Neurospora crassa OR74A: one gene and its partners. The protein of the gene in region 3 interacts with the protein of the main gene of each other region in a pairwise test. Links are inferred from orthologs where the notes say so. Each region holds a gene or a part of one and is shown on either strand. Other genes may lie near its edges. The genes, in order: NCU01524, NCU08158, NCU09004 and NCU08663.

Region 1 (7,837 bases), on a different chromosome or scaffold from region 3:
ATCTCCTGGACATCTACAATGCCTGGTCGCATGCATTCCCAGTACGGTGCTTGGTACGCCTGCACCTTTGCCAGAACTCGAGCAGCCTCTTTGTTGATTTTGGGGAGATCCATCTTTGGGGGTGGTTCGCCCATGAGCGTACGGGCTACGGCCAAGGCTGACTTGGAAATGGCCGCAAGGTTGTAACCGCCTTCTAGACAGACCGCCACCTTACCGTTGGCCAAAGACATGAGCATATGTGTCATGTGAGCGTAGCAAGCTGGCGATACAAAGCAAGCACCCAGCTCGTCGCCGTCCGCAGCGTCGAATCCGGCGGAGATAATGACGAGGTCGGGATCAAACTCGTGGGCAATCGGCATGACAATCTTTTGGAAAGCTGCCATGTACTCGCCGTCACCCATTCCTTGGTCATGCCAGCCAATGTTGACGTTCTTTCCCAAGCCTGGCCCTGCTCCACAGTTCTCAATACTGCCATCTGGCGTCATCGGGTTATCCGGTTTTCCAGGGTAGAACGAGCCGTTCATATAGACGTGTAGCGAGATATACAGGATATTCGGGTCGTCGTAGAACATGTTCTGGATGCCATTGCCATGGTGAACGTCCCAGTCCAAAATAAGTATCTTGCGGCAAATCTCGGGGTATTCGGTCTGGCAGATCTTGGCTGCTATTGGGACGTTGTTGAAGAGACAGAAGCCCATCGGGGCGTCGAACTCGGCATGATGGCCTGGCGGACGGATCACAGCGAAAGCATTCTTGACATTACCGACAACAACACTCTTGCAGGTCTCAATAGCACCTCCAGCTGAGATCAGTGCTGCCTCGAATGTCATACTGCCGACGTACAGGGAGTCTCTCCCTTGATCCATAATGGTCGAGAGGCGCCGGAGCTCCGATGTCGGTTTCCGTGACAGATCTTCCACCCATCGGAAATGCTCAGGGTGGTGGACGATGCAGATCTCCTCCTTGGTTGCGTGTCGGGCCGGAATGCGCCACATGTACCTCCTCGGGTCGGTGCGGATGACCTTCTTGAGATCCTCATCGTCGCCAGTGAACACAAGGCCTTCCTTCTTGAATATCCTCATGATATGCTCGATACGAGACGGGTCTTCGGGATGGTGGGGATTTGGACCAAAGTCGGCATTTGCGTGAAGTTTCATACGATCGTCGTAACAGCATCCTGTCGGAAGGAGACCTCTTCGCTTTAGGCGAGCCGGATAGATGAAGGGATCTTTCTCGTCGTCCAGTTTTTCCTCCTTCTCGTCGTTGGCTGGCGCGGACTGATCATGACCATTCGGTTCTGTTTTGGTGATGCCATTACTTGTTGCCGACACGTCAATTGTGGCAGGATGAGTGTCTTGGCCGTCCATCACGATATCATTGTCGTTGTCGACCATCTTGAAATGGTCCGTCCAGATGGACGACTATGTGAAGGATAAAAGTAATAATGCCGGTGTCAACTCTTGAAACCTACGTGACCGTATTAGTAGGACGCAACGTGAATGACTAGACAAACGAATCGAAGGCATGTTAGGATGTCTTTTGGGATCTGACAACAAAGCAAAAGAGCAGTTGCTGCTTGAGAGGTAGAGGCATGGGTGCTGCGGTAGAAATAACAAACAATGAGCAGGGCAAGGGGGATCTTGGCTGTCCTTGGGCAGGGAAACCCTTAAACCGCTGAACGGTAGACATCGGAGCTTCCACAAGCGCAGATGGCAAGCAGCCGCACCCAAAGCCAGGCTGAAAGTCAGAGTGGCTGTGGAAGTTGAGACTGCAAGAGACTATTGTCAAGAGAGAGAGGGTAAGGATATGCGAAGCAGTAGATATCCAACAGTCATCGCTTATGACTTCTGCCGTCGGGAGCACGTTATCCGGGGTCTTTTTCATGAAACATAATCCAAGGGAGGAAGAGTTATGTGTCAGGTGGGCTGCGGGAGTGTATATATGGATGATTGTGTCGACCACCGAGCGTCTCAGGAGTGAAGCGGTTATGTCAGACCTGGGCCGGACACACTTGCGCCGCGAAGCTTTCCAAACCCTTGAAGCAGAACCCCAAGACATGAATGACATGAATGATATGAGGATATCTTGAGCTTTCCAATGACGCCTTCTCCAAGCAGATTCCGCGTGGCCTGAGGGCGCGCTGCCGCAATCAAGGTGGAGAGAAAGGAAGGAAGGAGCAACACCAAACCGGCGGCCGAGATTGGGGATGGAACGATGGGTGAGAGTGGCTTACCTACCTAGCTTATGGAATAATCGCCGGTGCATGCCTTTTGGAAAACGAAGGAAGCCAAAGATAAAACAACAAGAAAGACCGTGTATGTAATCAAATCCAAGCGAGGTATGCGCAAAAGTGTGCCGAAAGAGAAAGGCGGAACAATGCCGAAGGATAGTGGGATGTAGAAAGTGCCCGTTCAAGTGCTTTGCTGAGGCGTTTGGGGGGGACGGATCGGGAGGTGTTCAGTTTGTTGTTTGGTTGGAGGTGTGATTGTGGTGTTGAAGTTTAGAAGGGACTGGAATTGAGAACTAGAAGCAGCGCTGAAATGGGGCGGGAATTGGCACTGGCAATCTCGGGGCCAGGCACTACATGCCACCTAGTTAGGTGCCCAAGATACGCTAGGCAGGCACGCAAGGGGGCCTAGAGGTAAGTACCATAGGCCGGAGCCTCCCGCTCTTTCCCCCACTGGTGTTCTGGAGGGAACAGGTCCCCTGTAGCGAACTTTCACAATGAGTGAAGTGAACCCTCTACAACCTATCCTCAACTCTCTCCTCCGATATCGATGAGTGAACCTGAGTCATGACCAAAGTACTCCGAGTCGTTTTTTTTGCTTCTAAATTTTGATCAAAAGCGTTAGCCATACGTGTTCAACATTAGACTCAAGCCATTTGTCTTTCGCTTTAAGGAGCGACGTCCTAGGTATCGGCTCCAGTCCTTATCTCTTGTTTTCAAGAAGCACCAAACTCGCGCCAACTCCCAGGCACACTACATGACTTAGACGACCCAAAGCCCCTGAGAAGATGGCTAGTCCGTCAGAAAATCTGAAATTTGGGACGATGTCGCCCAAAGCTACCTTGGGACAAAACATGGTACTTTTTCTTCTTCTTCTCCTTGAGGAGTGTACTGAAGGTGGTGATATCATCCCAACAACTCAACGAAAGAGACACCTCGTGTCTCTTATATATATGGAAACAACCCAAATCATGGAGCAAAAATGTGAGACAATATCTCACAGCGCAACTGCATTTAAGGTAGAGTCTAGGTCCTATGCGAACAACATCTCCCTCAGGAGTGTGGTTATAGACAGTCAACCGCTAGTGAGGTGCCGAGCAAAGTACTTGCTCTCCTACCCTTCTTTGACCATCTCCTTTCAACACGACCAAGACCGGAGCCAGGACGGCGTTCATCACTCAATCTTGATCTGATGTGTCCGTTTTCGAGCCAGCACCTTATACGCTGAGTGCTCATCTACCACTCGATCATGATCCTCTTTCCCAACTGTCAAAAGAGGACAGCTCGTCCGTCTCACACATCCCCACGAATACTGTAATGTTGTACAATGCAAATCGATTTCCTTTCTTTTTCCCGAACCAGACCAAACCAGCCAGCCAGCAAAAGTACAAAAAACTCCTTGATTACCCCTAAACCTAAGGCGTGCGTTGCTTTGATGTGTCGCAAGCGAACAGACGTGATGAAATCGTGTTGTGAAAAGCTCTCTCTCTCTCTTTCCCCTCCTCCTCCTTTCTCTAAGCAAAGAGCTCCCGGGTATCCAAGACATCCTTCTCCTTCTTCGCCTGGGCCGTGAGGGTCTCGAGCTTGCCGAGCCTCTCCTTGACCTGCTCCACCCTGGTGTTGTGCCTGGTCGCCTTGGCCTTGCGCAGCTCCGAGCGCACCTGGTTGGGGGAGATAAAGCGCTTGTTCTCGTAAATAATGGGGCCGCCGAACGCGCCCTCCTGTATGATGATGGGCGTTAGGACGAACCGAGGTCCGATCTCAACCAGACTGACGTCTGTGTCCTTGAGCTCCGCGTTGGGCGCGCCCTTTCTCTTTTTCGATGATGACTTGTCGCTCTCGGGGACAATGTCGTTTCCTTCGCTGTCCTTCTCGCCCTTGGCCTTCTCCACTTCTCGGATCTCGTAGTTGCGTACCCAGATCTTGCCGTCGGCAATGCTGAAGCTCATGACGTGGTCGATAAACGGTTTTGACTTGCGCGCGCCCTGGGGGACGCCAAACATTTGCAGAAACACCTCCTTGATGACGCGGTAGTGCGGCTCTTGCTCGAAGGCGAGGTCGAAGGAGAGGAGTGGCCTCGAGCCCTTGAGGCAGTTACCCGTGAAGTGAAGCTCTTCCATGGTGTGCACTGTGCTTTTTGTTAGAACCCGATTTTTCCTCTTTCACAATGCGTATCTCGGATATGGATAGTGCTCACAGTTTTGGGCGTGGAACTTGACCGTAGGGCCGTTAGGAACCTTGCTAAACCACATGTACAGATCCTTGCCCTTGCGCGCCTCGAAGAACATGACGTTGTTGCAGTTGTAGAGCTCGGCAAGCTCGTTCAGTTGGTACAGCTTGGACTTGGAATCGAACTTGACGTCTTTGCGGCCGTGGGGGAGCATCGCTGCGAGATCGTTGAGGAGATGTCTGTGTCTGTACTCGGGGCGCAAAGGCGGTTAGCAATTGACCCTTTCTTCTTCCATCTTGCAGGTATGCAGGGTCTATATGTACCTGTAGGTAACGCCTCTGGACGAGAGAATCAGAACTCTCTGCTTGTTCTTCCGAAAGCCGCCATTGGTGGTGGTGGTGTTGTTGTCGTTCTCCGTGTCCTCGACCTTCTTGGCGCTCTTCGAGAGCGACTTGTAAACGGCGGCCATTTTCTTTTTGTTCTTGTCGTTCTTTGGGTATCAAAATCGGGCGAAAAACAAGGGTGACTGAAGTTGGTGGTGGTTGTGGTGGAAGTGATGGCAGAAAAACGGAATGCGGATTGCAAAGGTGAATTCAATGCTCCAATCCACGAACGTCGCGGGCGAAGCGCAGTGATGGAGTGCAGGCTGTTCCATCTCAAAAAAAGTTCGCCGGCCAATCGCAGCCCCACTCCGATAAGCTTCTCTTATCTTACTAGCGTCCCTGTTCCGGCCCCCCTGCTTGGAACAGCTGAAAGGCGGTCGGCGGTCTGGGCAACCCGCATTTGTCCCACTGATGGACCCAACCTGGAATCCGGACCCCCAAGTTCTGGGGATTCCATTGCCTACACACACTGTCCAAGTTCCACGCGTTCTTCTTGTCTGCCCTACAGTGGGGGATGGGACGGGACTGGCCTCTTGTCCGCACTCAAACCCACTTCAACCGCCTCGGGTGACGCGATGGGAGTAATGAGGGACAGTCGCCATAATCCATCAGGCAAGCCCAGATGTCTTAATTTGTATTGACTGTTTCCCGCTGTCGCACATAATCAACTTGAATGTCATAACGAGATCCTGCACGATTATCGCTACATAGGTACTCACTCTCGAGGTACTCCTCTTCTCCCACATTGTGGATGCAATAGATGGAGACCTTGACAACGTGGAGCAATATGTACCAGGTTGAGTTAAGGGCTGTTTATCGCCCATAGTTCATTTCAACTAAATAATATCTTTCGTAATCCATGCGCAAGTGATGGCTTCGTTAACCACATTGAGGAAAATTCCAACGACCAGCACGGGGGGAAAAGGGAAGAAAGGGGTAGTAGTAGTAATAACAACAAAAAGGAAAGGCTGGAAGACGAGCATCATGATCCTTTCCCCCCTCCCCAAAAGCCCAAAAAAATAGAGAGAAAAAGAAAAACAGACCATCCCATCGGCGACCGTGATGTAATAAGACTGGGCAGGATCCGTCCGTACTTTTCCCCCGATGCTGCTCTTCATTGCTCATCATAAGCCTCCATTGCTTCATGTCAGACATATGTGACGCCGTTGTTGGTTCGGCACCCTGTTGTACTCTGCTGCACCCTGCACCTCAACCCTTCAGGGCCACTCGGTTCCCGGCCCGGAGAATCAAGCACCTCCTAACAGCAGCCAGACTTCGCCTGGGGGTCGTTCGCGGTCTGACTGAGCGAGATGCTCTGGCCAGACAGGTTTTGGTGGCCCTCGTTGGACCCGCTGGGGCCGTTGTCGAAGTTCTTGGTCGACACGATCTTGTAGATTTCTAGATAAATGATCGCATGTTAGCGGTAGGCTCGCGCCAGAGCAGCAGCTGTAGGCTTTGGGCAAACGTTACCAGTCAAAATGTTTTGGAACGCAAGCTCGACGTTTGTGGCGTCGAGAGCCGAAGTCTCGATAAAGGATAGGTGGTTTTCCTCTGCAGTTCTCTCTGTCAGTCATCCTGGCGATACGGCTTTCCCAAGCGACCATGTCATCATGGCTGTGACGCGCAACGTACCGGCAAACTTCTTGGCGTCCTCCGTGGGTACGGCTCTCAGATGCCGCAAATCGCTCTTGTTACCCACGAGCATGATGACAATGTTCTGGTCGGCATGGTCGCGCAGTTCCTTCAGCCATCGGTTCACGTTCTCAAACGTCACGCCCTTGCTGATATCGTAGACGAGGAGGGCGCCGACAGCACCGCGGTAGTAGGCAGAGGTGATGGCGCGATAACGTTCCTGGCCAGCAGTATCCCAAATCTGTGCCTTGATTGTCTTGGAGTCGACCTGAATGGATCTGGTAGCAAACTCGACGCCGATGGTGGACTTGGAGTCGAGGTTGAACTCGTTACGGGTGAATCGACTGAGAAGGTTGGACTTTCCGACGCCCGAGTCTCCGATGAGGACCACTGGTAGCGGGATCTGCAGTCAGTAACTGATTTGCCGCTGCCATCGTCGTCGTCGCCGTCATCGCATCGTCGCGACTGCTTCAGAGCTTCTGGGGAGGGGTATGCTTGCGGTACCTTTGAAGAGAAACTGTGACAGTTAAAGGCTGGTCAGCGCAAGCGGGCGGAATAAAGGGGGCACGTCCTAACAAGGATATCGAATCGACGCAAGATGGATGATAGGCAGGCGGACGGCAAGAAAGAGGAGGCGGGCTTACATCGTACTCGTCGTTGGCCATGGTTGCGGTGTGTGATGACAGAGGTGCTGGAGGCAGAGGGTATGCTGGAATTCGGCGAGCTGGCGATGGGCTGAGGCAATGTCTGGCAAGTGGTTGTCGCGTTGATAGTTGTACTGTATGCAGACAAAGTCAAGGGCAATGCGATGTATGTGAGTTCGGGTTCGCTCAGTGGTGGTGTCCAGGAGAGGCAGGGCCAAGGAGGGCGGTGCGGCTCCCCTCGAGTGGGTCCGAGTTTTTAGCTAAGGTAACCAAGTGCAGCCAGCCAGAGGGTGCTGCAGTGCCCCTGAAGGGAACGAACGAATGAATGGAATGCGCCTGAAGTCACATTTGCAGTGAGCCACGGCCCCCTCCATGGGCGGGTGAAGAGACCGGGCTGTCAATGGACGCGGGCTAGACGGCGTAATATTGGAGGGTCAAAGAGCTGCGACAGTAGCGTTAACGGTGGACTAAGTCCAATGGCCTGGTGCGGACAGCGGTGGGCCAACAAGTCAGGGATCGCGGACGGCTTTGTCTACCTACTAGTATCCCAGGACAATGGAGATGACCGTTTTGTTTGGGCCAGTAAGGTGGTGGTTGGGTGTCACGGGCACTGGAAGCTCTTTGAGGTACCAAGCCCCATTCAGGCTACCTACCATGGAAGTACCTTTTGAGGTGTTTACCTTCCTCTACTATCTACCTCTAGAGGGACCTAGGTCTCCTTTACTTGAGGTTTCCTCGCGACAAACAGTCAAGATGACGCGCCCCGAGGAAGACACGAGAC
Region 2 (8,298 bases), on a different chromosome or scaffold from region 3:
CATGATCAACAGTTGTTCTTAGTCTGGTTTTGGCGTGGTGTGGACCAATAGCAGCGCCATAATCCCTACTTCTTTCCCTTGTCTCAAGACGTTGCAAGTCTTGCGTTAACAAACTGTTAAGCATTAATCTGTATATCTTCTATCCTCCTCTTGACGGCCGAAACCGATGTAATGATACCCGGGCGAAACCATATACGCTGCGTCTTTCCAACCACCTCCGGGCTACAACGAGAGAAAAATATTTAGTTTGTTCAAAGTTCCATGCTCCTCATAAGCCAAACGTGGAGACGAGGAACATCAGCACAGCGTCCTTCTTGCGGTGAAACCTGTATCAAGTATGTACTAATACTCGTCTTCATCCTCTTCGTCCTCCTCGTCCGCCATATCAATTATGAGCCCGCCTTCGTCATCTTCATCCTCGTCATCATCCTCACCCGATATCTCATTCCCCTCTTCGTCATCCTGGAAATCCGCATAGTTTCGCCCATCGTAATCATCCCCGCTAACACTGTTGTCGTCGTCGTCGTCGTCATTGTCGTTATCATCGTCTGAGTCCGGGATAGGGTTATTTCGGCGATGGAGTTCCAGCTTTTCTGCGAGAGTCAAAGGCTTGGCGGGGAGGTCTTCTTCGTCCGAGGAGTCGTCCGAGTCCGAGTCATCACTATCGCTCGTGGATGATCCGTTTTCTTCGTCCTCGTCCTCGTCATCATCTGTATCGGAAGCCGGGGGCCGTAATTGGCGACGGGATCTGATTTTCTTAGGCATCGTTACCTCCTCTTCTTCCTCTTCTTCTACGTCCTCCTCTTCCTCGTCTGACACGATCTTGTGACGATGCTTAGCTTTCTGCTTGCGTCGTCGCCTCACCATCTCTTCTTCTTCGTCTTCATCGTCATCCGAGATGACCACGTGGTCTTTGGGTCTTTCACCAGCCTTACTGCCCTCAGGACTTTTCTTTTTCTCTGTGGTCGACTCGTAGCCCATCTGCTCATCCTCATCCTCATCCTCATCCTCATCATCCGAAAGCACAACCGTGGCGCGGGCACGGCGTCGACTCTCATTGCTGATACGCGCTGCTTTCCTGGGTGGTCCATCGTGATTCTCTTCCTGTTCCGAATCCGATTCCAGAACCCGTTTTCTGCCGGAGCCCTTGGAGCGAGAGGGTCCAGCTCGGGGTGATGAAGTTGACTCATGATCCAGCGTCGAGGAATCTGACGGCTCCATGCTGGAGAAGCGAGCACTGTCGCTTGGACCGAGGTGAGGATGTTGATGGGCGTTGTGTCCAGAATGAGACGCATCATCGGAGTCGTCAAGGATTTCGATGGGGCCATTGTCAAAATTAGCTAAACGTGCTGCATGGAATGGCCCTTGTTCTTCTTCATCGCTCGAAGCTTCCTCCTCCTCTTGGTCGCTATCATCTGTCACGACGACAAGATCATCTCCACTTTCCGACCCCGTGCCCCCGTCCTCGCTGATTTCGGAATCATCGATCCCTGAGCTCTCATATTCATCGGGCTCCTCATTCACTGACTCGTCATCCAAATCATTGTCAGAGAAACTCCAGTCGGTGTTATCATTTTGTTTCTTGACGATCTTCTCAAAGCGCCGGAGGCCGGTTTCATAAGAGAAGCGTATGAGGGGTTGAAATATATTTTCTGTGTCGGTGCCTCCCTTCTGTGTGTAGTCCAGTGATCGAGAAACGAAATCGCCCAGACCTCCAGGAATGCTATTGTCGACAGCGAACTCGCGTGTCCTGGAGGGGTTGCGCCAGCAATACATGTACTCAGCATCCTCTCCAACGCCTGGCTCCTCTTCTTGGGTTCGCACAAAATAATGGCGATTCTCTCTGTTTGCGCACCAGCGCAGAAGCCTTGCCGGACAATCGGCATCGTCAATGACGCAGAACACCCTGCTCAACTGAGGGCAAAATTCCTTGAAGTATTGTTCGTATTCAGGCCGCTCCGATAACAGATAGGTATCAAGGCAGCGGCGTAGCTCGACGTCGAGCGCCAGGTTCCGAATTTGATCTGAAAAGCCTGGTATTGGCCAAAAGGGAGGGGGGGCTTTGCCGCCTAAAATCACGACGTCATTCTTGCAATCCCAACGGATCGTGTTTCGGCCTTTGCGGAAGGTGAGGACGTCGGGAAATTTCTTGAGCACATGCTCGCGGCTTTCTCGGTGAACAGCCGACATGACACGGGCGGGGGCCGTTTGCTGCTCGAGTATATGACTCTCCCAAACCTCCAGCGGATTGTTGGGCAGGTTAGCTAGTTGGAAGACCATACGGAACTCATAAACGCGTGACTTTGCCGTCAGGTCGGGGCAGAACATCTCCCAGATGCGCTGGCGTAGCTCATAAGGCAAGAGGGCAAACTTTGGGAAAGACTGGTGATGGTTGCGCCTGGCTTGGCGAGAGTTGGGGTATTCGTGGATGTGTTCGGCAAGGTCGTCATCGTCGTCGTCGTCGTCGTCATCGTCTTCATCCTCGCTTGAGTGGGACTCACTTGCTTCGAGGTCGAGCATCGACGCCAGAAGCTGGATACCCCTACTGTTACGTGTCAAGACTTCTGAGGAAAAGACCTCATCGCTGGAGTCATCCGAGTCCGAAGAGGCTTCCGAATTGGACGCCAAGTCAGAGCCGGAGTCGGACCCGGACTCGCTGTCGTTGCTCGCGTCCGAATTGTGTTTGTCTTGGTCCAGGTGATGATCTTGATGGTCGGACTCATCTGACGAGGAGTCGGTGGCCATTTTGAATAGGCCAGCCGGTTGAATTGTAATAGCACGTATTGTGTGTTGTCTTTGTTCTTCGCGTAGATATCCTGGATGTTGTTGTGGACTGTGAAGACTGAAGCTGTGGAGAGAGTGTGTGCTTGTTGATAGTATAGGTGTAGAGGTAACCCCAAGGTATGGATGGAAACGCGTGCAGCAGTGGACTCGTCAAGGTGGGGCTCCCTTTAGATCTGCCGGAAAGCTTAAAATCCCAGGGAACGGAGCCTGCCGAGGGATTGGTAGGGGTCACTCACACTAAAATACAGTGAATGTATCGAGTTCTGCCGGGAGGTGCACGGTTACACTCGGCCGCCGAGGACAGTGCGTTTACACCACTGCCCTGGAGAAGGTGCTACTGGAGCTCCCGACCTGAGTTCATGGGAACCTTGATAGCAGGCACTTTAAAAGTTCCTATCTTTCCTCTTGAGTGTCAAGTTCTGAAAACAGACGATATGCCTAGAGGTAGCGTATATTCAAATATGGACTTCACGTCACTGGTATATAGGTCTCTAAGCAGGAATCCATAAGACATCTCAAATCTACACCTCTCTCCCATCTCAGGCAAGGGATGATGGGCTACTTCATCCCCAGGTGTAACTGTATCCTCGGAGGGAAACTGAAGCATCAAAGGGCCTAAACTAGGTACTCAGCACAAGGTGGCATCTGATCCAATGCTCCTGCTGATCTTCCTGTCACCATAAGCCTTCCATAGGAAAGCCCTTCCTAAACCTCTTACGTCACTTGCCTGGCCGAGAACTCGTGTTCTACAAAGGCGTAACGCAGTGTTCATGATCCGCCACTTAGATGTCCGGAGTGGTATCTTCATCCCCTCAACGACGGGACTTTGCTGTGGACCGCACTGGGGTGTGTATACTCCTGGGTGTTTTTCCCCGACGTGGAAGATGCTCTGAACATTGGTTGACAACCTGCGAGGCCAGTACAGAAAACCCAAAAGTACGCATCCTCTTCGCAGAGGCCGTCAGGCAATGTATAACTCCTCTAGGGCATCATTCCGCGTCATACCACCGCAGCTTGCGAGGCAAGGATCGATGGGATGATCAGGATCCAAAGGCAGATAGATTGTAGGTAGCCATGGACTTCTACCCACAAAAGAAGAATCCATTCATAGGTTCTCCTTAGGTCCACCTGCCGCCCCCGCGCCCTCCCCAGCTCCTCTTTGTCCAGCCAGACCACCAGGCGGCATCCTAATCCCCAACGCCGCCATCCTCGCCGCCACGGCAGCTGCCCCACCACCGCCGCCGCCAGGCCCCCTACCGGCACCACCTGGATGCGGCGCCGACGTCGCCTCATCCACTTTGCTCTTCTGCAGCGAGAACGCCGGCGCGATCCAGTCGCCACAGCTACATCTAAACCCTTGCCATGTGTACCTCCCCACGGACGCCAGACACTTTTGGTTCGGACACGTTAGTCTGCCCTCCAGCTCGCCCTGCTCCAGCGTCGGGCGCATCCACGACAGGGCCTCGACAAAGTAATGTCCGCAGTCCCTTTCTTTGTTTCCTTTCCCCTGGTGGTGCGGGACAATAAACGGCTTCGTCGCCAGTGTTCTTCGACACTTTTTGCATCTTAGACTTAGCGACGCCGCACCACCACCCGCCTCCGCCTCTTTGTTGTTGTTCTCAGAAGCAAGCTTAGCTGCCTCCTCATCCTCGAACCGGATCCAGTCTGGCACCCGGCCAATCCTTGTCGCGTCCTCCACCTCGCGCTTGTACAGCCACCGCTGGTAGGCAGGGTGGTTCTCGACCGCGTCGTCTCCTGACTCGAGGGGACAGCCCATGGTCCACCATAGCTCTAGCTGCTCCATGAACCCGTCGTTGGGCTCGGCAATGGGTCGGGTCTGTCGTACCCAGTTGATGGCCTGCGTGACGGCGCGGCGCGCGGGCGTAGAAGGGTCGGACCGCCCGAAGCGGTGCGGGTGTTTCCAGAGGAGGTAGGCGACGATGGCGGAGACGGAGCGAGATTTGCCCATGGCGCAGTGGACTAGGACGGCGCCGGGTTTTGTTTGTTGTTGTTGTGATGTTATGGTGGTGGTGGTGATGGGTGGCGCGGCGGTTATGGCATCGGCGTCGTGCGCTGTCTCGTCGTCGCCGTTGATCTTTGCACTCGCGCTCGCGGGTGTAGGTACTACTACTGGCGCATTATCCCCTCCGAATGCTATCGAAGCTGCTTCGTCACCGTACAACCCGCGCTCGATAAAGCGGACCATCTTGGGGAAGTGAACCAAAATATCGGCCTCCTCCACGTCGTCAATGTCGATGCTAAGATGTTGGACATTGCGAAACGCGGGGTCGGCAGGGAGGGTGTAGTTGATGACAGATAGGATGTGCGTGATCTTGTTTTCTTCGATTAAGCGGGCGCGGTTGACACCGAAGATGCTGTTCTCGTAAAACAACTGTGTCAGTTCATTTCCCTTCTCGCGAGTAAAACCAAAGAAAAGCAAGGCAAGCTCTATTGCGACAGGAGGATGGGATGGATGGACAGAGAGTCCGGACGGAGATGGTCGCGTGCGACTTACTTACCCTCCTACGAAGAGGTCTTCGCGCCCATTGATGCGATTTAGCGCCATTGCGACCGGTCTCTCCGGGCAGTCACTTTGGGATATTTCGAAGGGCTTTGGGGTTCTGTTCGATTTGGCGCTACCAAAGAATCCAGCACGTCAAGTTTGTGAAGCAATCGCAAGGCGGGTTGCTCGTCCAGCTTCTGTCGCGTATCTGTAAATTTCGAAATTATTTGTTGCCCCTCATCGCTGCGGGATTCCCGAAATGGGTTGGTTACCGTGGATACGAGCCATGTACCATTACGTACATGGAGAGCTACAGTACATGGAACGGCGTACCGTACAGTGAGCGTATTGAATACGTGGTTCCTGCCAAGTGAAAGTATGTATTTGTCGTCCGTATCTTACCATCACACGGTATTGTACCCTTGACTCGGCATGAACGGGCAAACATACTCTGACCGTTTTATGCATCCAGTACCGTACGATTGTTTACCTATCGCGAACCTTGGTCATTCAATCTCCGTCCGATATAGGCGTTGCATGCTCGGGCATGGGCAGGGCAGTTGTACCCCCAGTACCATCATGCGGGTACCTTGGATTGTCCATGTGTGCTGACACAAAATGTGACAAACAGAAACCCTGGGTGTCAGAGGACGACGGATAACAGAGGGGATGGCCCAGGGCAAAGGACAAACAAAAGCGACCGACTGCCCTGCACGAATCAAGCAACCAACCAACCCCCCAATTTTGTAAAATCCATCACAGACATTTTTGGTAGGGCTGTGGCAGTGGGGTAACCTGACGGCGCCCGCTTCCTTGTAGGGCTGAAAAGACATGCAAGTTGTCTCACATTCCGCCCACAACAAACAGACAACAATGTAGAGGTACCCAACCGCCGCCTGAAAGAGCATCCATCTGATAGTAGCAAAATAGTCATTCCAGACCGTATCATAGTCCATTCTTCCTCCAAATCACTCATATTGACATTATCACATTTCGCTACTACAAGTCTGCTCTCCGACTGCTACTATTCAGCCGCTGCCGCTATCAACTCTCCCATAAAAGTACATCGGTTGCTGCTCCTGACCATGACCACACCAAAGACGATGTGTCAACTTTTGCCTGCGCCTTCAGAGATATGTCCCGCACGCAACGCCGCAACCCTACAGCTGAAAATTTCACACCCAAACTCCGATAAAAATCCTCAATCCCGTAAATGCTCCAATTAGATGACGTCCTTTCCCTCCACGGCCCCTTGTGCCGCATGATCTTTGAACTCATACCGCTCTGCATGTCGATATCTGACCTGACCAACATGTCACAGCCATAAATGATACCATCCATCACCCCCAACCGTTGCCTCTCCAAATAGCAAGGCCCAGTTGCTTCGTTGTATCCAAAATCACCACATATTGCTTTCCCGCTTCAACGAGGGACTGCTGGTCCTTCGTCCATCATGCAAGCGTTTTCAAGCATATTGGTCCATTTCCCACTCGTACCGGCATGACTGTGTTTGAGGTGTTGCCGGAAGTGGTCTGCGCGGAAGAACTTCTTGCTGGCATTGCACTCGCGGAACTTGTGCACGTCCTGTAGATGCCGGATACGGTCCTCCCAATCTTGCTCACTAGCAAAGATGCCTGCAGCATTACGTCCAGTACGGGCAAATTCCTCACCACAATAACCACACGTATCAGCCTCGCCTGGCCTCGTGCTACTGTCGTGGAATGCACGATCGTATGTCTGAAGTGCTGAGCATGACCAGCTATGACGACGGACGTGCAGGGAGTTCTGATGGCGTTCCGCCTCGTTCTTGTTCTTGAACCGGTTCCCGCAAAACGAGCATCCGTACTGTTTCTCTGCTTCGTGTAGCCTGGTGGAAAAAGTGTCTGGGTTAGTAACGTGCGTCGCTGCGCGGAAATGATGCAAAACCTACTTCAAGTCCTCTTCCGTGTCGAACTTCTTGGGCTTTTTCGGGCAGCATTCGCACATGTATGGGCCCTTGAGCTTAGCCGCTACGATATTGCTAGCATTTTTCGGAATCTCGGCAAGTTTCCTCGAAATCCCAAGCGTCCTATTGGACTGGTCAACCGATCTTTGCGTATAGTCACCCGAAATCCTAGGATGCGGCGACTGTGCCGCACCTGTCCGGCTGATCGACGATCTTGGTGAAGCGGTGAGGCTGATGGGTGTGGCATACGGGCTCCCATTACCCATCACGTCTGTCGGCGACACCCCGCCAGGAGATACACCGTTGGGAGACAAACGGCCAAGCGAACTGTTACTTGCTATGCTGCTAGCAGTCAGATTGCCAATATAACTTCCGCTGCGACTAGCAGCCGACAAGCTAGAGACAGACCCTTGTGAAACGACAGTCAGCCTCGGGGTAGGCGATCCCCTGTTCAGGCCTGACGTGTCACTACATCTATCAATTGGCGTGGGCGAGGCCGGCCGCTTCTGACCGGATTGATAGTAGCTTCTGTCTCCGCCCATGTCTCTCCCCGCATGGTACAGCTGCGATGGCGAATAGTGTGATGGCCCACTCTTGTGTCCTCGCTGCCAAGACCCGCTCTCTGTTTCTCTTTCGTTTTCCCTCTGCCTTTCCCTCCACGGATCTTCGATCTTCAGAGTCCGCATGCGTGTCGTCTCCTCCATTGGAAAGTCATTGTCCTCGTCGTCTTCGGTATTCAGAAAGCCGTCATCCAGCATCAACGTGCTCTTTGTCCTGCGCGCCCTCAGTGGCGGCGCACGGTTGAAACCGCTGTTGTCGAACCCGTCAGTAGGGCGAAACCCGACAATAGCTGGGCTTGGTTGTCCTGTTTGAGAAAACGGGCTGGGAAGCGGAGATGCCGTAGTGGGCGAGGAGGCAAACCCCGATGTGAAAAGCCCTGGCTTTGACCGGTGTGGGAGGGAAAGCTGTGGCAGACTGGCGTGGCTGGGGCGAGAGCTATGTACGTCGTTCAAGGAGTTACTGAGTCCGCCGCTTTTGTTTAACCTGTTCAACATGGTCTGGTCGA
Region 3 (7,767 bases):
TCCTTGTACGCGGTCGGGGAGATGTCGCTGTTGGGCGCAGCCCCATTGGGAGGGAACAGGGCGGCCTCGATGTCAAGGTTCAAGATCTCGTCGTCGTCAACGGCAGGGCCAGAGGACGCCGCCGGGCCCGGCGTGAACTTGGACGAGATGGCCGATATGAGCCGGGAGGTGACGTTACCCTTGGGCGTGGATGGTTCATGCATGCTGCTGCGGTTGCTAAACTGGCTGGCGTTGGTCCCGCGTCTACGCGACCTTGTGGGCGTCTTGTCCAAGGAGGTGTCACCGTCGCGAACGGAGCCGGTCAGGGACTGATTGTCCGCCGCCTTGCTCGCTTTGCTGCTGCGGGCTGTTAAGGTGGGAGCCATTCCCAATGCTTCTGCTGCTGCCGCGCCCGAGCTGTTCAGCCAGTCGGCAAACGCTCCTTGGGAACTGTCGGTTTGCTCCGAGGAGGAGGAGGCGGGCTGGTTTTCGGTGCCAAAGGTGAGGGCGATCAGGTTCGGGAACGATGACCCGCGGCGATGTTTGTTTAGACCCGAGCCCGACTCAGCGTCTTGCTCAGAAAACCCGCTGTGGTACTCTTGCAAGGGGGCCAAGGTGGAGGGGGCTGGGAGGATGATGGTCGAGGATGGGCGAGGCGGTGGAGCGGGCACTATGCGCGGCTTTTCTGGGACTCTGGGGGGGACGGCGTTGTGCTCTGAACTGACGGATCTGATCTTATCCAGCGATCCTCGCAGGGCTAGGGCTTTGGGAGGAGGTGTTGGACGTTCAATGGGGCGTTGGGGAGGCGGTAAGTCTCTTGCTGGCTGCGAGGGGGGCAGAGCAGGATTGGGTCTAAGGGGCATGATGTATGTAGTAAAAGTTTGGAATGCTGCCACAGTATCCCTGGAGGTCCCGTGTCCGTTCTCCTGTGTGTCCCCTGGTAGTCCCTGGTAGGCGAATCTAGCCGTTGTTGGTCTGGCCGGTCGGCTTATGTCCTGTTTGGCGGGGCCGGAGTGTTTCTTCAAGTCCAGGCGACCGAATGTCCGGCTCCTCTACCACCGTGTTATTCTAGGAATACAGAGAGAGAGAGAGTATTGACTGCTTCGGCTGGCCAATGTGCACAATATGGGGGTGATGTCTGGGGCTGAGACCAGTTTCAACGCCAAAGCAAGACAATGGAATGCAACAAGCTTCCACAGCTTCCACGGTGCGTAGCTGAGGTGGATAGGGTGGCAATTGGCGGCGGGAATCCTAAAATCGTGTTTTGGTATCCAAGATGGGGAGTGCCTTGGGTCAAAGATGAACTCGAGTCGGGCGGGCTTCGAAGAGGTGCGGAGGTGGACGGGGCGGAAGAGTAGTATATGCCGCTGGCGTGCCGTGGCTCATGCGCTTATTTCAGGGGTCCAAAGTCTTGACCGATATATTGGCTCGGGAGAGGTGTAGGCCGATGTAGGCGCACGAGATTCTATCGTCCGAACAGGCGGGTTGGGTGAAATGGAAGTTCGAACCGTGACGGTGATAGAGGAAAAGAATTGACGATAACTAAAGCCATCCAAGAACCAAAACCACGGGAAAATATCAAGGGGTTAGACCCAAATGAAAAAAAAAACTAAAAAACTAAAAAACTAAAAAACGGTCCAACGGTCTGGAGAAGTTTGGACCGAAGCGAGGTCCCGTTCTCCCCTTTCCACTTTGCCTGATTGCGCGCACGCGGCGGCGGCACCACCACGGGCAGTCCACCACACCCACCCACCACCACCAGGCAGTCCACCACCAGAGTAGGTACTTGGGGGGCACACCACCGTCCTCAACAGGGATCGCGGGATAGGAGACAGAGCCACGGGCGTCCACCTTTCAATTGAACTTCCAGGGGTTCGCTAAGCCGGGACAGGCTTCCACTTCCGTTCCTGTTTTCTTTTCCGTTTTCCGGGGTCGTGAAGAAGCTAGAGATTCCCAACCTTCTTTTTCGAAGCCTTGGCAACCTGACGTCTGCAGAAACCGACAAGGATTCCACCGATTGGCCCGCACCTGCCCCGGCCCGGCATTGCGGACTGCGGCTGCGTGGCACGCACTTGGCAGTGTTTTTGTGCAATTGAAGTTGCAGCACTTGTGCATCTTTTGAGATCTGGGTCGACTTCAATCTACAGTTTTTGTTTTTTCATGAAGGATTTTCTCACACGCTTCATACACATCTACAACAACGCTGAAAACTAATTAGCCCTAAGCCTATAAGCTGCTCGTTGCGGAGAATCGAGATCGGACCTGCCGATTGACTATCAGACGGGTTCGTGGGTCTGTGCAATTTCGTCGAATTTCACGTTCCTGGAAATTGACCAAAAACCCCCCAGATTGACGTTTCAAAAGAAACCAATATTCCCGAACGATATTTCCACTCATGACTAAGTCTAGTAGTTTAGTCCACGCATCTTTTGCCACAAGCTGCATGTCTCTCAACGGTCAGGGCATCGCGGAATAAAGCTGCGTGGTTTAAATTATTTCCACCCATCACATACCAAGCCGTTTCCAGAAGAAGAAGCAGGATTCTCGAGTGAGACATTATACGTAGCCGCCGTGGATTACCATGTCGTTGTGTGTGGACTTGGACTCGTGGTAGGTATTATACGCATTCTATAGCCCCCCATTCTATGCATATGGACATGTCAGGTCAACAAAGTGTTGACGAATGCTGGGTCCCACGAGTCCCTGGAACGGACAACCACATCATCGTGCATGATGAAACACTGCATCACCGCTGCTTGCTGGCAACCGCCGCGATCGCAACCAACCCTGGCACTCGAGGCAGCATCGGGTGTGGTACATGCCGTACTGTGTTTTTGCATGATGGTTTTTTTGTAAACATTGATGATGGGGAATTGTCTCAAGAGGCATCTCGCTTGGCGTCTGGATTTGCATTCGTAAAAGGAGGTGATGATCCCGTCATAGAGCATAGGGGACGAGCTTGGAGTTTCAGTTGGTCTTCTTCACTGGATGACAGGTGAACCAAGAACTACCAGTACAACCCTAACCCTTGGCAGAAAACCGTGCCTTGCCCCAAATCCCAAAGACATTGGTCCCGCGTTCTGGACTTATATGTCACATGTTAACTGAACCTCGAAGAGTATCTATACTTCGTGATTATTCTGAACGGCCATGGCCATGTCAACTGGAAGCTTTTTTTCATTCCAGATGGCATTTCCAAAACTCGAAGCAATCTCGCAATCCAGGCCGAGCCACAACCACGGTCATCTTCACACATATCCATATCCTCACGCAAAAACGCCAGTCATAGGAACCATTCATTGGAAGAAAAATCGCCTTGTTTGCTCACGCTTGAGCATGCATGTCAGAAACGACCCATTGTCGTTGGTATACCTGACAAGAATCCCGCCTCCTACACATCCATCTCTCGCCTCCGCTCCCTCCTGCCTCACACATTGCCTTCCTTTCTCCTTGCCTACCAAGCACAGATAACACCAACTCCAAAACAAGCCCACAAAAGAAAAACCATTGGATTTAGTAGAAAGACTCGACCATGGTATCCTTGAGGCTGGAGTTGATCTGGCCAGGCGCGGCACCCTCTCCTAACCTGAACACGCTCTCGATAACACTCAGCTCGGGCGCCGTAGTATCAAGACCAGTGACGGCCATCCAGTCGTTGACCACCATGCCACCGCCGATGACGTTGGAACCTCTGTTGACGGAGCCGGCCACCAGCGGTACCTGGAGCAGGGAGCTGAGCTCGTCCTGGTCCTGGATGGATGTCTTGGGGTGAACGAGGCCGCCCTGGTTGCTGAGCGCCATGTAGCTACCGACGAGCACGTTGTCGGCAATGGTCTGGCGGAACACCTCGACGCCGAGCACGTCGGCAATGATCTCTTCGGTCTCGCGCTCCAGATCCGGGTGGATCAGCGCCGTGTGGTCGTTGCACACAATCACGTTGCCCAGGGCCGACAGGCGCTCCTCGATACGTTGTATGCGCACGTCGTCGGGGAGACTGTTGCGCAGATGTTGCAGTTCCTGGTCGCTTGTGGTAGTGGGGACGAGGAGACCTTTGCGGTTACTGTAATTTTTTTTTTTACTCGTGGTTAGCTTACCAATGTCCCATAATCAGGTTCTCGGTTGCGCCCCCTCCGATACTTGGGACTAAAAGTTCAATCAAAAATGCAGAGGGAAGAAGCGCCTACCCAGCTGTCAAGCGACCGATGATTCTTGTGCCGGCAATGGTGGTTCTGCAGATAGGGATAACATCTTGGAGTTCGGCCTCGAAGACGCTGTAAAAGTTTTCGCTGGCACCGACGGCGACCAAAGCGTAAGAGTTTGTAAGTGTGGAAAAGACTCCAACCCTATTGAGAAAGCAGACAATGTTAGCGCGTCTGCTACTTGATATCCCGAAGAACTACCCTCCGCCCCCCATTCAGATTCAAGAGTCGCCTTGCTGTCGCGGTGTCGAAGCATGGTATTGATGTCGTCGTCGGTGGCAGGCGGGGCAGATCTTCGATTTTCGCATCGCGATTCCCCATCTCGGAACGTGGAGGCCAAGCAAAACTTACTCGTTGGAGTTCTCGAACTGGGCGCGGACAGCCATGGCTTCGGTTCTTCTTGTGTAGTGCTCCTAGTGGGCTTCCTTTACTTGGTGGGTGAAGTGGTATTCCGATAGAGACGGAGAGATTGAGTTTATGCGACTGAAGCAATGGAGATTGGAGGTATAGAATGCCGTTTTGCTGCTTCGCGAATGACGACTGGTGGGGTGGGCGATGGAAGGAAAATATAATCTGGATTCAGACTCCAGGCTATGTGTAAAGTGGGGCGCTATCAAATCTGGAATCTGGACTGAGGAAGAACCACACAGCTTTTGGAAGCGGGTACCAAGACCCTTACAGATGTATGTACCAGTACTTGCCTTCAACAACAAGACATGGACGCATACATGCGGCTTACCAACCCAACCTCTCTACTCAAACCCTTCCATTTTTGCCATCGAGAAGTATGAGTTTGTCGAAATTCTAGTGCACTTGCATCGATACAATTTCATTTTCAATCACCGGTGACTCAGACACTTTGGAGCAATCCTCGTAAGGCTACGCGAGCAGTGCCTAGCCACCCTCGGGATGGCAAAAGGCTTGCCACACAGCCCACTATGTTACAGCGACATGGAAGCTATCCTCTACGTCTACCCGACCCCATTACCGCCTCCTAAAGCTTGTTTGCCCAATCAGATTTGCAGTGGCTTTCCCATTTGGTAGTGTACACTACCGCCATTTTCATTATGATTCATCATTGTTGCGATATGCAAGGTACCCAAAGAGGCTCACTTGCGGGGCGTAGTAGAATAGACTGGGGCTTGTTTCAACAGTTCAACTTCTGCAAAATGTAATGAAGTTGCTGTTGCAGTGTACTGTGTAGAAGATCACAGGATCCTGGTGGTATAGACATAGATGCCAGAAGCCGACATACCGGACAATTCATTTTGGCTTATCTTTTTTTGTTGAACTCGTCCGCTCGGCTCATGATGAACCCTAACCCACGGATTCACAACCTCTCCTCGTCAGCCCATGTAGCGACAGGACAACAATGAGAACAACCAAAGTGTGGCTAAGGGAGCCCGGTTGTCATTTTGGGTTATGAGCTTAGCAGAGGGAACGTATGGCTGGGGGAACATCTGGTTCAGTTGACGAGAAAGCGCACTTTGCCATAATGCCGTGAGGTACCTCCATATAACCCGCTGATACCAATTCCCATGACCGTTGAAAGCCATCATCCAAGTATCATCGCCTTTAAACAAGATGCATTTATACCAAAACTCCAAACTCCCCTGCCCCCGGCTGACCGTCAAGCACTAGTCTCGTGAGACCAGTAGTCTATTTAAGACGACGCGAACATTTATTTTGCCAACCCCGTTTTGCCGGATGATGCATGCCTTGCAAGAACTGATCACCTTCTTTGACTCAGTCTCATTGCAGTGTTTGGGCTGGAAATAGCTGCGGACCAGCAAAGCCTTTCGCTATAACCCCCTGGATATCAATATTTTTAAGAGGGTCAGGATGTGGACTCCACATCTTGAGCAGGATGTACCGCGCGCTCACCGGCGGGTCGAACTTGATGGTACACTTGTTCTTGTCCTTCTCAATGTAGAATTGGGCCAGCGGAGACATAAGCGCTCCGCCAACGGCTCGTACCGCCTCCTGCGTGGCCACCTGCGAGGCTTCTCGCGCTCGTTCAAGTTCGGGGGTTCCCGTGTCGTATTCGTTACGCCAACTAGCAGAGTGTCGCGCACGAGTGAGATCAGTCCAGTCCAAACCGCTGGGGTTCCATGGGTCTCTTCCGTCATCACTACTGTCGCTTTCAAAAGGCAAAGCACCAATCCTGTTGGGGGTTCGCCTACGCCGCAAATGATTTTCGTCTCCTTCGCTTTCGTCATCACTGCATTCGGTCGTGACATTGAAAGGCTGGGATGCAGCCGAAAACTCGGGAGGTAGCGCGGCTGCTGCTTGATCTTCATCATCGTCATCATCATCATCTATAGTGTTGATCAGATCTGATATGTAATCGCGTCGATATCTCGAGGGGTAGATCCGTCCATCGTCGTCGTGTCGGACCGAGTAGATTGTTGGAGTGTCGCGTGATGTCCGTGGTCGTGGATTCGCTGGTTGCTCATACTGAATTTGATATTGCGCTGTACATTTCAACAGGTCATCATGTTCCATCGAAACAAACACCATGCCCTCTCGGACCCTAGAGACCGGTCAGCAAGGCAATCGAAAGATATCCGAAACAAGACAACACATACGGCTGAGAGTAATGTGAACCAGGTGCTTTGATGACCAACTCTTTCAAGCTGAAGACAGTACCACCGTGATGTCGTAGTATGATGTTGCAGCGATTAGTCCTTGTGCAATAAACCGAAGCGTCGTCTTTCAGGATGTTTTCCGCCACATAGGCCCGTCCATCCCTGAACAAGCCACCATCACAGCTAACAATCTCCAAAAGAAGCGGACCGGGTTCCACCTGGCCGTATTTTCCGTACAGAATATTTTTGTAGCTTGGCGATACCTTGTCGGAATCCAGTTTCCGTCGCTTTGCGCGCCGAAAGTTTTCTAGTTCTTCCATATCCTCAGGAGGAGTGTTCCTACCGAAGAGCGAAGGCTGTGAAGAGCTGGACGAGTCTTGAAGCTCGCCGAGCGTCACGTAGCTGCGCTCCCTGGCAGGGTTCATATGAGTTCGGTGCCTCTCCATTGCCCGGTCAAAGGGCGAATAACGGGAAGGGCGGCCGTTCTGGCCTCCGGGCGCCGACACGCCGGGTCGCACCCTTGAGCCAAGCGAACGAAGGGACGGAAGTAAGGGTGGGGTAGGGGTCGAAGAAGTTGAACTTGGAATGGCAGGCGGCAAAAAGCTGCTAGAGGGTTGAGAATCCTGGTTGAATCGCCGGCGAAGAGACCGGTCAGAGCCGGAGGACATCCTGGACCGAGCGAGCACCCTGGAGGCAGCCTGTTCGAGAGCTAGGTTGCGACTGATGCGGTCGTGGAATCTTTCTAGAGCCTCAAATCGTTCTCGGGATATCGCCGTGGGAGATCTCGGCGGAAGGGCATCGGGTTGGGCGTTATTTTGGCGAGATTCCGAATCCCAGGGCGACCTTAGAGGTCGACTGTCGGACTAGGGTACAAGAGAAGGATGAAAGTTAGTACTAAGGTGTAGTACTCGCAGGTAACAAGACACCAGAAAATGTGTTCCTGCAGCGAGGTGGTCTGGGTGTAAATCAGAAGCTTACAGCTTCGAACTGGGCTCATACGC
Region 4 (8,074 bases), on a different chromosome or scaffold from region 3:
ATCAGAGTCACTGCCGTTACCTGACTCGTCTCCGGAACCCGAGTCTTCTCCGTGGTCTTCTTCTCGTTCTATGAGCCGTTGATGAGTGCTGTATCTTCTTTCAAAAAGTTCCGACGGAGACATGCTACTTCCTCGGTTGCTGGCTTTGTCCATCGATTGGTATGTCGTTATCATCGCTGTCAATACCACATTGCCAAGTTGTCTGATGACAGGTTCATCAATAATCAACCTTCAAGTTCCCCGAATGCTGTTCTCCTGATGAGTCGTTCGTGCTTGAAAGGAGTGAAGTGGTTTGGTATGGGTCCGGTAAGGCTTCTTCTAAGCCACATCTGTCGACTGGCTATTGGAATAATTGTTGGAAAAGAGTGAATGACGAGGGATCCAGCAACCGACTCAAATCTGTCCAGGTGTCCCCGGGAGAGTATATGTTTTGCCCATTTCCCCGATCAATCACCGCCAGATATCAAGATCACTTCTTGCATCCCGTCTATCCGGCCGGCTAGCAACAATCACGAGGGGACAAATGCGCTTATCATGGACATATAAAGACAAAGAAGGGCGTGGCTCTCTCACTGTGAGGCATCAAGTGTCCTTCAAGCAATCTTGGAACAAAGAAATGTATACCTCTCTCCAATGTCTAGAATTTTTCAAAAAACAAAGCATCAGGATCGAACAGTCGCACGGGACGGGAGCGAAGGAGAAAATAGAACAATGCGCCACACGGACGGTAATCGGGTCATGTTGCCTGCTACTGGCTGTTCATAGCATTTGTTCGTTTCCGTAAATATTTAGTAGTTGAAGAGGTTTTGTCATTTCGATCGCTGTTTCGTTCGTTCAAGAACGGAAACTAATCAATGTTTATGGTTGACTGAAAAAAAAGACCTGTTTGTTCTTGTCTGTCCGACCCCTGTTATTGCCCGGCAGCCTTGGGCGAGGGCCGATGCTGATAATGGTCATTGTAGATGAACAAACATCTCAGCATGCCGGTTTTCTTTTTTGCGCGTTTCATGCCGTCGTTTAACATGGCTCGAAGGTTTTTTTCGGACCCATGGATCTGACGATTCTCATGATCACATCTCAAAGTACCAGTAGGGGTTTAGGTCTTCGCCTGATTGTAGGCCAGAAGGAACAATGCCGGGGATGTTCGGAATTGAAGTTGTCGGAAAAGAAGTGGTTCGGGGGGTCCAGGATGATAATTGCGAACAACTCGCCCGTGGCATTTGAAGGCTGGTTGCATCGAAAAATCCTGGTTTGGGACAAAGATACTTAGCAGAAGTGCTGCAGAGTTGAGTCCTGCGCGGCGAGCAAAGCTCAGTACTAGGTATGTACCGACGGTAGGTTGAAACCGTGACCAGTTTGAACCACTCGCTTCTGCCGGCTTTTTGCGACTTGCTTATCGATTCTCACAGCGAGCCAAAATTCCTGGGAAGTATTTGCCCAGAGCTGCTCCTCTTCCCGGCAGGTAGAAAGTAACTTGCAGGAAAGGAAGGAGCAAAAGGGAAAGGGGAAGAAGTTTCCGTGCGGGCTTCGCACCTTCCTGACCAACACCCGCCAAGCCAAACTCTGACTTGAAGACGGCCCGGGGATGAGAACGATGGATTTTGAGATAACCTAAACACCAAGAAAAGAAAAAAAAGAAAAGACCTAGTCTCTGAAAAATGGGACCCTCGAGCCAAGAAACCCAACCTATCACGAAGTAAACAAACCCCCTTTTCCCTTTTTGCCTTTAGCCCACCTACTACTGAACCCCTGACCCATGTCACACCCAACCCTCAACTCCACCACACAATTCATGAACAATTCGTGCTTTTCCGGTTCAAGAACACATCCTCTGGTGACAAAAGCATAAAACAATCGGAAGCCATCCTTCATCGGGTATGGTGTAGCGGTAACATCGTTGACTCTCACTTGTTTACAAGTGTCTGTTTTCTCAACAGCCCCGGGTTCGACTCCCGGTATCCGAGCGATAACGATCAACCTTCTGGTTCTCTTTTTTTCGTTTTATTTTTTCCATCTTTTCTCTTCGTTTCAAAGTTGTTCCTTGGCCCCCTCTGCATCGTTGTGAAACCCCGCGCATTTTGTGATATGTTTTCCTTTTTCTGGGGTTGTATGCTTTGGAACCTTTGTCCGGACTCGAAATAAACCTGTTTTCATAATTGATGATGACCGAAGGCGACAAGATAAAACAGACGGATGGAAAACATTTTGAGCAGATGTGTAACACTAGGCCTTGACTGACCAAGATCATCGTACATGACAAGTTGCACATCTTCGTTGATTTAGTACTTTGACGGTCGTAGCATCCTTTCAACCACGTCTATGCATTCACAACTATAAAGACAACAGAATGTTGGATGCAGAGGGCGCCAACACGGCAAGCCCATTCCCGAATCTATTCATGAAATGCCTTAAAAACGCAAACCCTGAAGAACAGCTAACTCCCAGAATTTTGATTTACCCCGAATCCCAAAGCCATTCACATCCACATATCAGACTCCAATCAAGATCACATCCTACTCCTTATCCTGAATCTCCATTTCCTCAAAGTCATCGAGGAGCTCGTCCATGCTGATCTTGGGGCCATCCTCCTCAGCCTCCGTCATCATGTCGGTATCGGCAATGCTCATGGCATCCGCCTCCCTCTTGGTCTTGAGCGAGTTCTTGTACAGAGCAAGAGCAGCACGAAGCTCCTCGTCCTCCTCGACATCGCGCAAGAACATCTCGTACTCGGCATCCATCTTGGCCTGGTCCGAAGCCTTGGGCAGCAGCTCGCCCTCGTCCTTGGCCATGCGCTTGAGCTTCCAGTTTCTCTTTCTGTTGCGGCGGCGGTTCGGGTAGTGCTTCTTGACGAGAACAACGTCAGGGATCATGGAACCGTACGCCTTGGAGCTCTCAATCGCCTCGAGCGCGTCCGAGTTGAAGTTGGTACCCTCGAGCATGTAACCCAGCACCGAGTCACCGGCGTGGAGATGCTGGCCGAGATGTGTGCGAGTGAAGTAGACGTTGTCGTTCACGCCGAGATCGGAGGCACGAGCGACCTGGACCTCGGAGAGAAGCCACTTTCCTTTTCGTACGCCTGTGGACTCGATGTCCATAACGATAAACTCAACAAGATCGGGAGTGCCGGCAAGCGGATGGAAGGGAGCACGCCAGTAGATATCGGCGCTGACTTCGGCGGTCTGGAGGGTGTTGGGGTCGAGAAGGTTGACAGATGTTCCTATCCTGTGGCAAAGGACAAGGGGAGAAATGTTGCCAATGGACTTGGCGAGTTTGAGAGGAAGGGCAACCAAATCGTCTCTGCAAACAGGCACGATTTCGACGGAGTAGTTGTACTTGTACGACTTGTTGCCGGTGTGTGTATCCGCGGAAATAAGATGCCTCGACTCCTTGGTGAGAACTGGTACGACGGACTTCAGGAAGCTGATGAATCCCTCGGCCTGGTTCTTCTGGGCAAAGTAGAAATCGATACCGTCCTTCTCTTCCTTGATGTTGATTGTGTCGCGATGGGCCTGGTGCCTGAGAATGAGCTGTTCGAGGAAAAGGAACGTCCTCTTGTGGGTGACCTTTTGGCGGACCTGTACGGCGGCGCGCCAGACGTTGGCTGTGTATGACTTGGCGCAGTCCTTGCACTGCTGGCTGGCGACGACGTAAGTGACCTCGAAGCTTTGCTGCATCAACACACCATCCGCCACCTGATCCTGAACCGTAACCTGAACCTTGACTCTTCGCGAATGGGGTTCTGTCCAAATGAACCTGGCGTCTGTGATGCGGACCTTGCCCAAATTCCTCAGTTTCTTCAAGCATAGCGACAACAACTCTCTCGATTCGGGGGCGGCTGTGACCCAGCTGGCGGGGGGTAGGAGCCATCTGTCGCAATCTTTGCAGAAGTGGAGGGTGGCCTCGCGCTGGATGCCCTGGGAGATATCGACGGTGGACTTGATGCAGTCGTAGCAAAGAGCGCCGGCGGAGGATGTGCCATCGATGGGAGCGCCGCAGTTGCAGCAGAGAATGCTATTGGTGGTGTCAGCAATCATGCCTTCGATAACCTTCAGTCTTCATGGTCAAAACTCACGTAGCACCTGTCCTGGCAGAGCCCATCAACGGGGCCATGGCCATAGGAGCGTCGAGATCCATGATTAATGAAGTTGTGGTTTGCGACAAGATATGAATCGGGGTATCAATTGTAAAAACAAACAAAAGTCGCTATGTCGTGAAAAGGAAAACCTGGGAGTTCCGTCGCAATCACAAGTGAAGTTGCTGCGGATGAGAAAGAAGTTGACGACTGGAAATTTGAATGGACCAGGACGAGAACGAGTCGCTGGGGGGGAACGTTGGAGGCGCTGACGGGACGGTCGTCAATAAATTTCTTGATGGGCCCAGCACCAAATCGCCCCGCGCTGCATTGATAAGCAATTCGTTATCGGCTATCGGCTACCGTGGGTACTTAGAGGTATTAGCACAAGCCAGTGCAGCAGTACGTACAATTGTGGCGTTCTACTGCCGGCTTTGCCACACCAATAAATCAGCCTCAAAACTTATGGAGCTTTAGCTCCGGCCAGCTGTATTGCAGCTGTCGGGTACGAGCTCCTGATCATCTCCCCCCCTTGTCGATCTGTTGACATTGAACTGTCGATTCGTGTTGACTACTGGTCGATAATATTTTCAGGTGACTGGAAAATCAGCTTTCCCAGTCAGAGGTGCATATGGCTGGGTGACTGGACTATCAAGAAGCCATTCATCCTCAACCACGACGCTGGTAGGCATCGCAAGAGCCCTGACCCTCATTAACTTTCACAACATTACTTTTTGCCTTCGCCACCACCTCCCTGGAAATTCATGCTGTAACCACCGGTCTTCTCATCCTTCACCATCTTGAAATGGTCAGTGCTAAGACCAAACGGCTTAAGCAACCCATTCCCAAGGTCCTTCAACTTGCCCCACATTTCAGCAGTCTCCTTCTCCTGAGCAGCCTTGGCCCGGGGCGGCAGTGCTCTGAGTTGCGCCTGGACGAGCTTTCGGTCGGTAGCCGTAAGGTTGGTCATGGCAGATAGCTTCTTGTAATCCTCGATAGCCCCCTCGAGGGTGGACCATCCACCCAGCTCGCTCCTTGCCCGGGCCCGGCGTAGCAGAGCTTTGGCCCGTATCCTGGCAATATCCTCTAGTCGCTTTTGGCGGGCAATCTGCGCTTCAGTTTCCGTGACAGGAACGGCGGGTCCGGCCTTTGCTGCACCAGCGCTGACAATCTCCTCTTCGACATCTTCCTTCTCCTTCTCTTCCTTCTCGGCAGCCAGCTTGTCCTCCCGCTCTAGCTTGTCAAGCAAGTCCAGAGCTTTGGTTGCGTGCGTGATGGCATCCTTCCAAGCTTCCAGCATGAGGTGACAGGCGGCCACGTTGGAGCGCAAGACGGCCAAGGGGTAGTCCAGGTAGTTTGGACAAACAGCAATGGCTTCGTCATATTTGTTGAGGGCGGCATCGTATTTGCCCGAGGTGAAGAGGGCGTTTGCCTCTGCTTTGTGTGTGTTGGACTCAGCTACCAATTCCTGCTGAGGCGGTCAGTCACAGAGGTTTGGGCATCAAGAGGGTCTTTGTTGTTGTTGCTTTTGGTCGTGGGTACTTGCAGCCTCTTCTTCAGGTGAGAATTTGATATCGGCCTGCTTGGATTCATCATTTTCTTCCTCTGCTTGAGGATCCTTGACCTTCTTCTGCTCAAGCTTGTCATCAGGAGTTTTGGAACTCATTTTCAAGGCAGGTTTGTTTAAAGTGCTACAAGGTTGCCGGTATCGGAATGGTAGTATCTTTTCAGTAGCTCGGAGTGAAAGCTGGAAGGAGGTCTGTAGAAGGAAGGCGTTTTGCGGATGAGATAATGGGACATGCGAGATAAGAAGCCGCGCGCGGACGGAAGCTGTCAGGGGCGGGCAGCGGGCATTTACGCAGGAGCTTGGGCACGGCAGCTACCTCTAGGCATTGCAGGTCTTGGCAAAAGTGGACCTCTACACTACGTCTGTTGGTATCGGAATCCGAAGTGAAGTTATCTGGTACCAGTACTGGGAGAGGGGGGTGTTACAAACTCTTCGCGAATTGTCTTTGGACAGTTAGGAATTTGGTGACTTGTACTTAGATCCCTCGCGCGGTTTAAGTATTTGAATGTCCCAACGTTTTTTTTGCAAAATGTTCGGTAATTAATTGACTATAACTTGACAGACACCTGATAGTCCAAATTCTTAAAATGTTTGGATATCCGGACGTTTCGCTGGGCGGGATTGTTAATTGATAGTAAATTGGCAGTCGTAACCAGTTTAACATTGGGGGTTCCCGAGGTGCCTAAGTACAGATCGAAAGACCCCCCCCCTCCCAGTACGGACCTCATTCGATGAAGTCACTGCCAAACAAAACAGCTGGCCACTGACTGCACTGGATTCACTCAGTCGTAATTCCGTTCGAATACGACGTCAGTAGTAAACCGTTCATAACCGGGTAAAAATGCGGTGAAATGGAATAATCAGAAAATATTCGTTACCAGGAATTCCAAGTACCCGGCATGTTATGGGGCATTCTTAGTAGATACCTAGATGCTCTGTCTTGTCATAGCAGCCGCTTACTGGAGCGTATAGTCTATCATATAAGAGTGTTCGTCCCGTCAACCTCTATTAAGGTTAACGGATTATTAATTTATATTATACCAATCTTACATCTATCTTACTCACACTCAGTAAAATCGTATACAAGGTTCTAGGTTGAGGTTCGCGATAGCTCTTATCTTTAATTTCCTTTAACAAGATTATCGTTAATTATTATACACTATTACTCTATCTAGCAACTAATTACTTACATTATTATTCTCTATTATTACTACTTATAAAGCACATCTTCGCGTAATAAGTAGTATCTATAATTTAGTTTCAAACCAACTTTATTATTCCTTACGTTTCTTCCTTTCGTCGAAGGGGGAGATATATTAAATCTAATAACAATTTATTAAATTTTACAACCATTATTCAACTTTTACCCTTTTAAATTAAATATTTATACTTTTACTCCTTAAAATCCCCTCTTTTCTTTATTATTTTATTACTACTTATTCCAGTCTAAAGGCTAGATTGAATAATATTAAAAACTAATTAAGCAAACCCTTAAACGGCTTTTAACCTCTAAGAAGAAAGTTTAATATATAAAGTATATTAAATTATTAAATTTACTACGTATAAGCCGCAATTTTACTATAAGGAAAGATTTTAACCTTTAGCTACTAAATTACTTATTAAGGTAGTATAGTTATACTTAAATAAAGAAACCGGCTATATTGAAATTAAACCCAACTAATCCGCTAATACTAGTAATAATATTTATAATAGAGGATGGATTATTAATTTAAATATAGCGGACCGCAAAGTTCAATAGGTCCTACGTAAATATTATTAATTGGTTGTTAATTATCTAGTCCTAATATATTAAAATTAACTATTTACAATTAAAGAAGGAGTATCGTTATAATTACGGAAGAAGAATTAAAAATAATTTATAGCCCGAATTAAAGCGAATAATATTACTATTAATATTACCACCCAAATACCTATTCCCCCTAGTACTAATAATATAAACGTATACTCCTCGCTAATAACTTTTTCGGATATTATTAAAATAATTAATATACTAGCCCTTATTAATCTAATATAAATTCCTATACTACCTTCCTTACTATCTACGCCTATTAAATAATATATTTAATTAAATTTAATTTAACGACCCTTTTCGCCAACTAAGTTAATAATCTCGTAAATAAGCTTAATTATTAAGATTACTACTAATATTACTCAATAATTAACTACTAATCCTACTACTAAATATTTCGGAAATTTCGTATAAGCTGAAACCCTCCTACATTTAGTATAAAAATAATAATAAGAATAAATAAATTAGTATTTAAGAATTGCTCTCGCTAACTACTTTCTAACGTACTTTATTAACCTAAATTAAAATACTATATACTTTACCTAATATAATGTAAAAATTGGAGGTAGATCTCCGAATCCTCTACTTTACTTTACCCAACCGGTTTATAATATTATACGCTTAA

What was found.
Region 1: the proteins of NCU09004 (region 3) and NCU01524 interact in binary tests that used the Saccharomyces cerevisiae proteins (3 or more experiments, as listed by UniProt). The link is inferred for Neurospora crassa OR74A from reciprocal best matches to the Saccharomyces cerevisiae genes TIF6 and BRX1.
Region 2: the proteins of NCU09004 (region 3) and NCU08158 interact in binary tests that used the Saccharomyces cerevisiae proteins (3 or more experiments, as listed by UniProt). The link is inferred for Neurospora crassa OR74A from reciprocal best matches to the Saccharomyces cerevisiae genes TIF6 and YVH1.
Region 4: the proteins of NCU09004 (region 3) and NCU08663 interact in a protein complementation assay, tested with the Saccharomyces cerevisiae proteins (2 studies listed by BioGRID). The link is inferred for Neurospora crassa OR74A from reciprocal best matches to the Saccharomyces cerevisiae genes TIF6 and NMD3.

Annotation. Positions count from the first base shown.
Region 1 is NC_026502.1:3,190,227-3,198,063, forward strand, and holds NCU01524 (ribosome biogenesis protein BRX1), read right to left. Parts: upstream 5,018-7,837; 5' UTR 4,867-5,017; coding exon 4,721-4,866; intron 4,643-4,720; coding exon 4,425-4,642; intron 4,356-4,424; coding exon 3,742-4,355; 3' UTR 3,198-3,741; downstream 1-3,197. Other genes in the region: hda-1 (histone deacetylase hda1), read right to left, coding at 1-1,394; NCU01523 (GTP-binding protein ypt3), read right to left, coding at 6,039-6,178, 6,251-6,331, 6,413-6,802, 6,917-6,929, 7,057-7,077. UniProt on the Saccharomyces cerevisiae protein: Required for biogenesis of the 60S ribosomal subunit.
Region 2 is NC_026507.1:3,569,073-3,577,370, forward strand, and holds NCU08158 (dual specificity phosphatase), read right to left. Parts: upstream 5,479-8,298; 5' UTR 5,351-5,478; coding exon 5,304-5,350; intron 5,160-5,303; coding exon 3,890-5,159; 3' UTR 3,189-3,889; downstream 1-3,188. Other genes in the region: NCU08157 (hypothetical protein), read right to left, coding at 343-2,745; NCU08159 (hypothetical protein), read right to left, coding at 6,710-7,154, 7,218-8,298. UniProt on the Saccharomyces cerevisiae protein: May be directly involved in signal transduction and/or cell cycle regulation. It is necessary for maintaining growth rate or spore germination. Could show both activity toward tyrosine-protein phosphate as well as with serine-protein phosphate.
Region 3 is NC_026503.1:4,188,236-4,196,002, forward strand, and holds NCU09004 (eukaryotic translation initiation factor 6), read right to left. Parts: upstream 4,965-7,767; 5' UTR 4,565-4,964; coding exon 4,530-4,564; intron 4,323-4,529; coding exon 4,164-4,322; intron 4,040-4,163; coding exon 3,493-4,039; 3' UTR 3,006-3,492; downstream 1-3,005. Other genes in the region: NCU09003 (hypothetical protein), read right to left, coding at 1-842; NCU09005 (hypothetical protein), read right to left, coding at 5,931-6,711, 6,767-7,629. UniProt on the Saccharomyces cerevisiae protein: Binds to the 60S ribosomal subunit and prevents its association with the 40S ribosomal subunit to form the 80S initiation complex in the cytoplasm. Is also involved in ribosome biogenesis.
Region 4 is NC_026504.1:4,178,094-4,186,167, reverse strand, and holds NCU08663 (60S ribosomal export protein NMD3), read right to left. Parts: upstream 4,402-8,074; 5' UTR 4,135-4,401; coding exon 4,073-4,134; intron 4,012-4,072; coding exon 2,514-4,011; 3' UTR 2,203-2,513; downstream 1-2,202. Other genes in the region: NCU08662 (hypothetical protein), read right to left, coding at 1-153; NCU08664 (tetratricopeptide repeat protein 1), read right to left, coding at 4,800-5,540, 5,619-5,738. UniProt on the Saccharomyces cerevisiae protein: Acts as an adapter for the XPO1/CRM1-mediated export of the 60S ribosomal subunit. Unlikely to play a significant role in nonsense-mediated mRNA decay (NMD).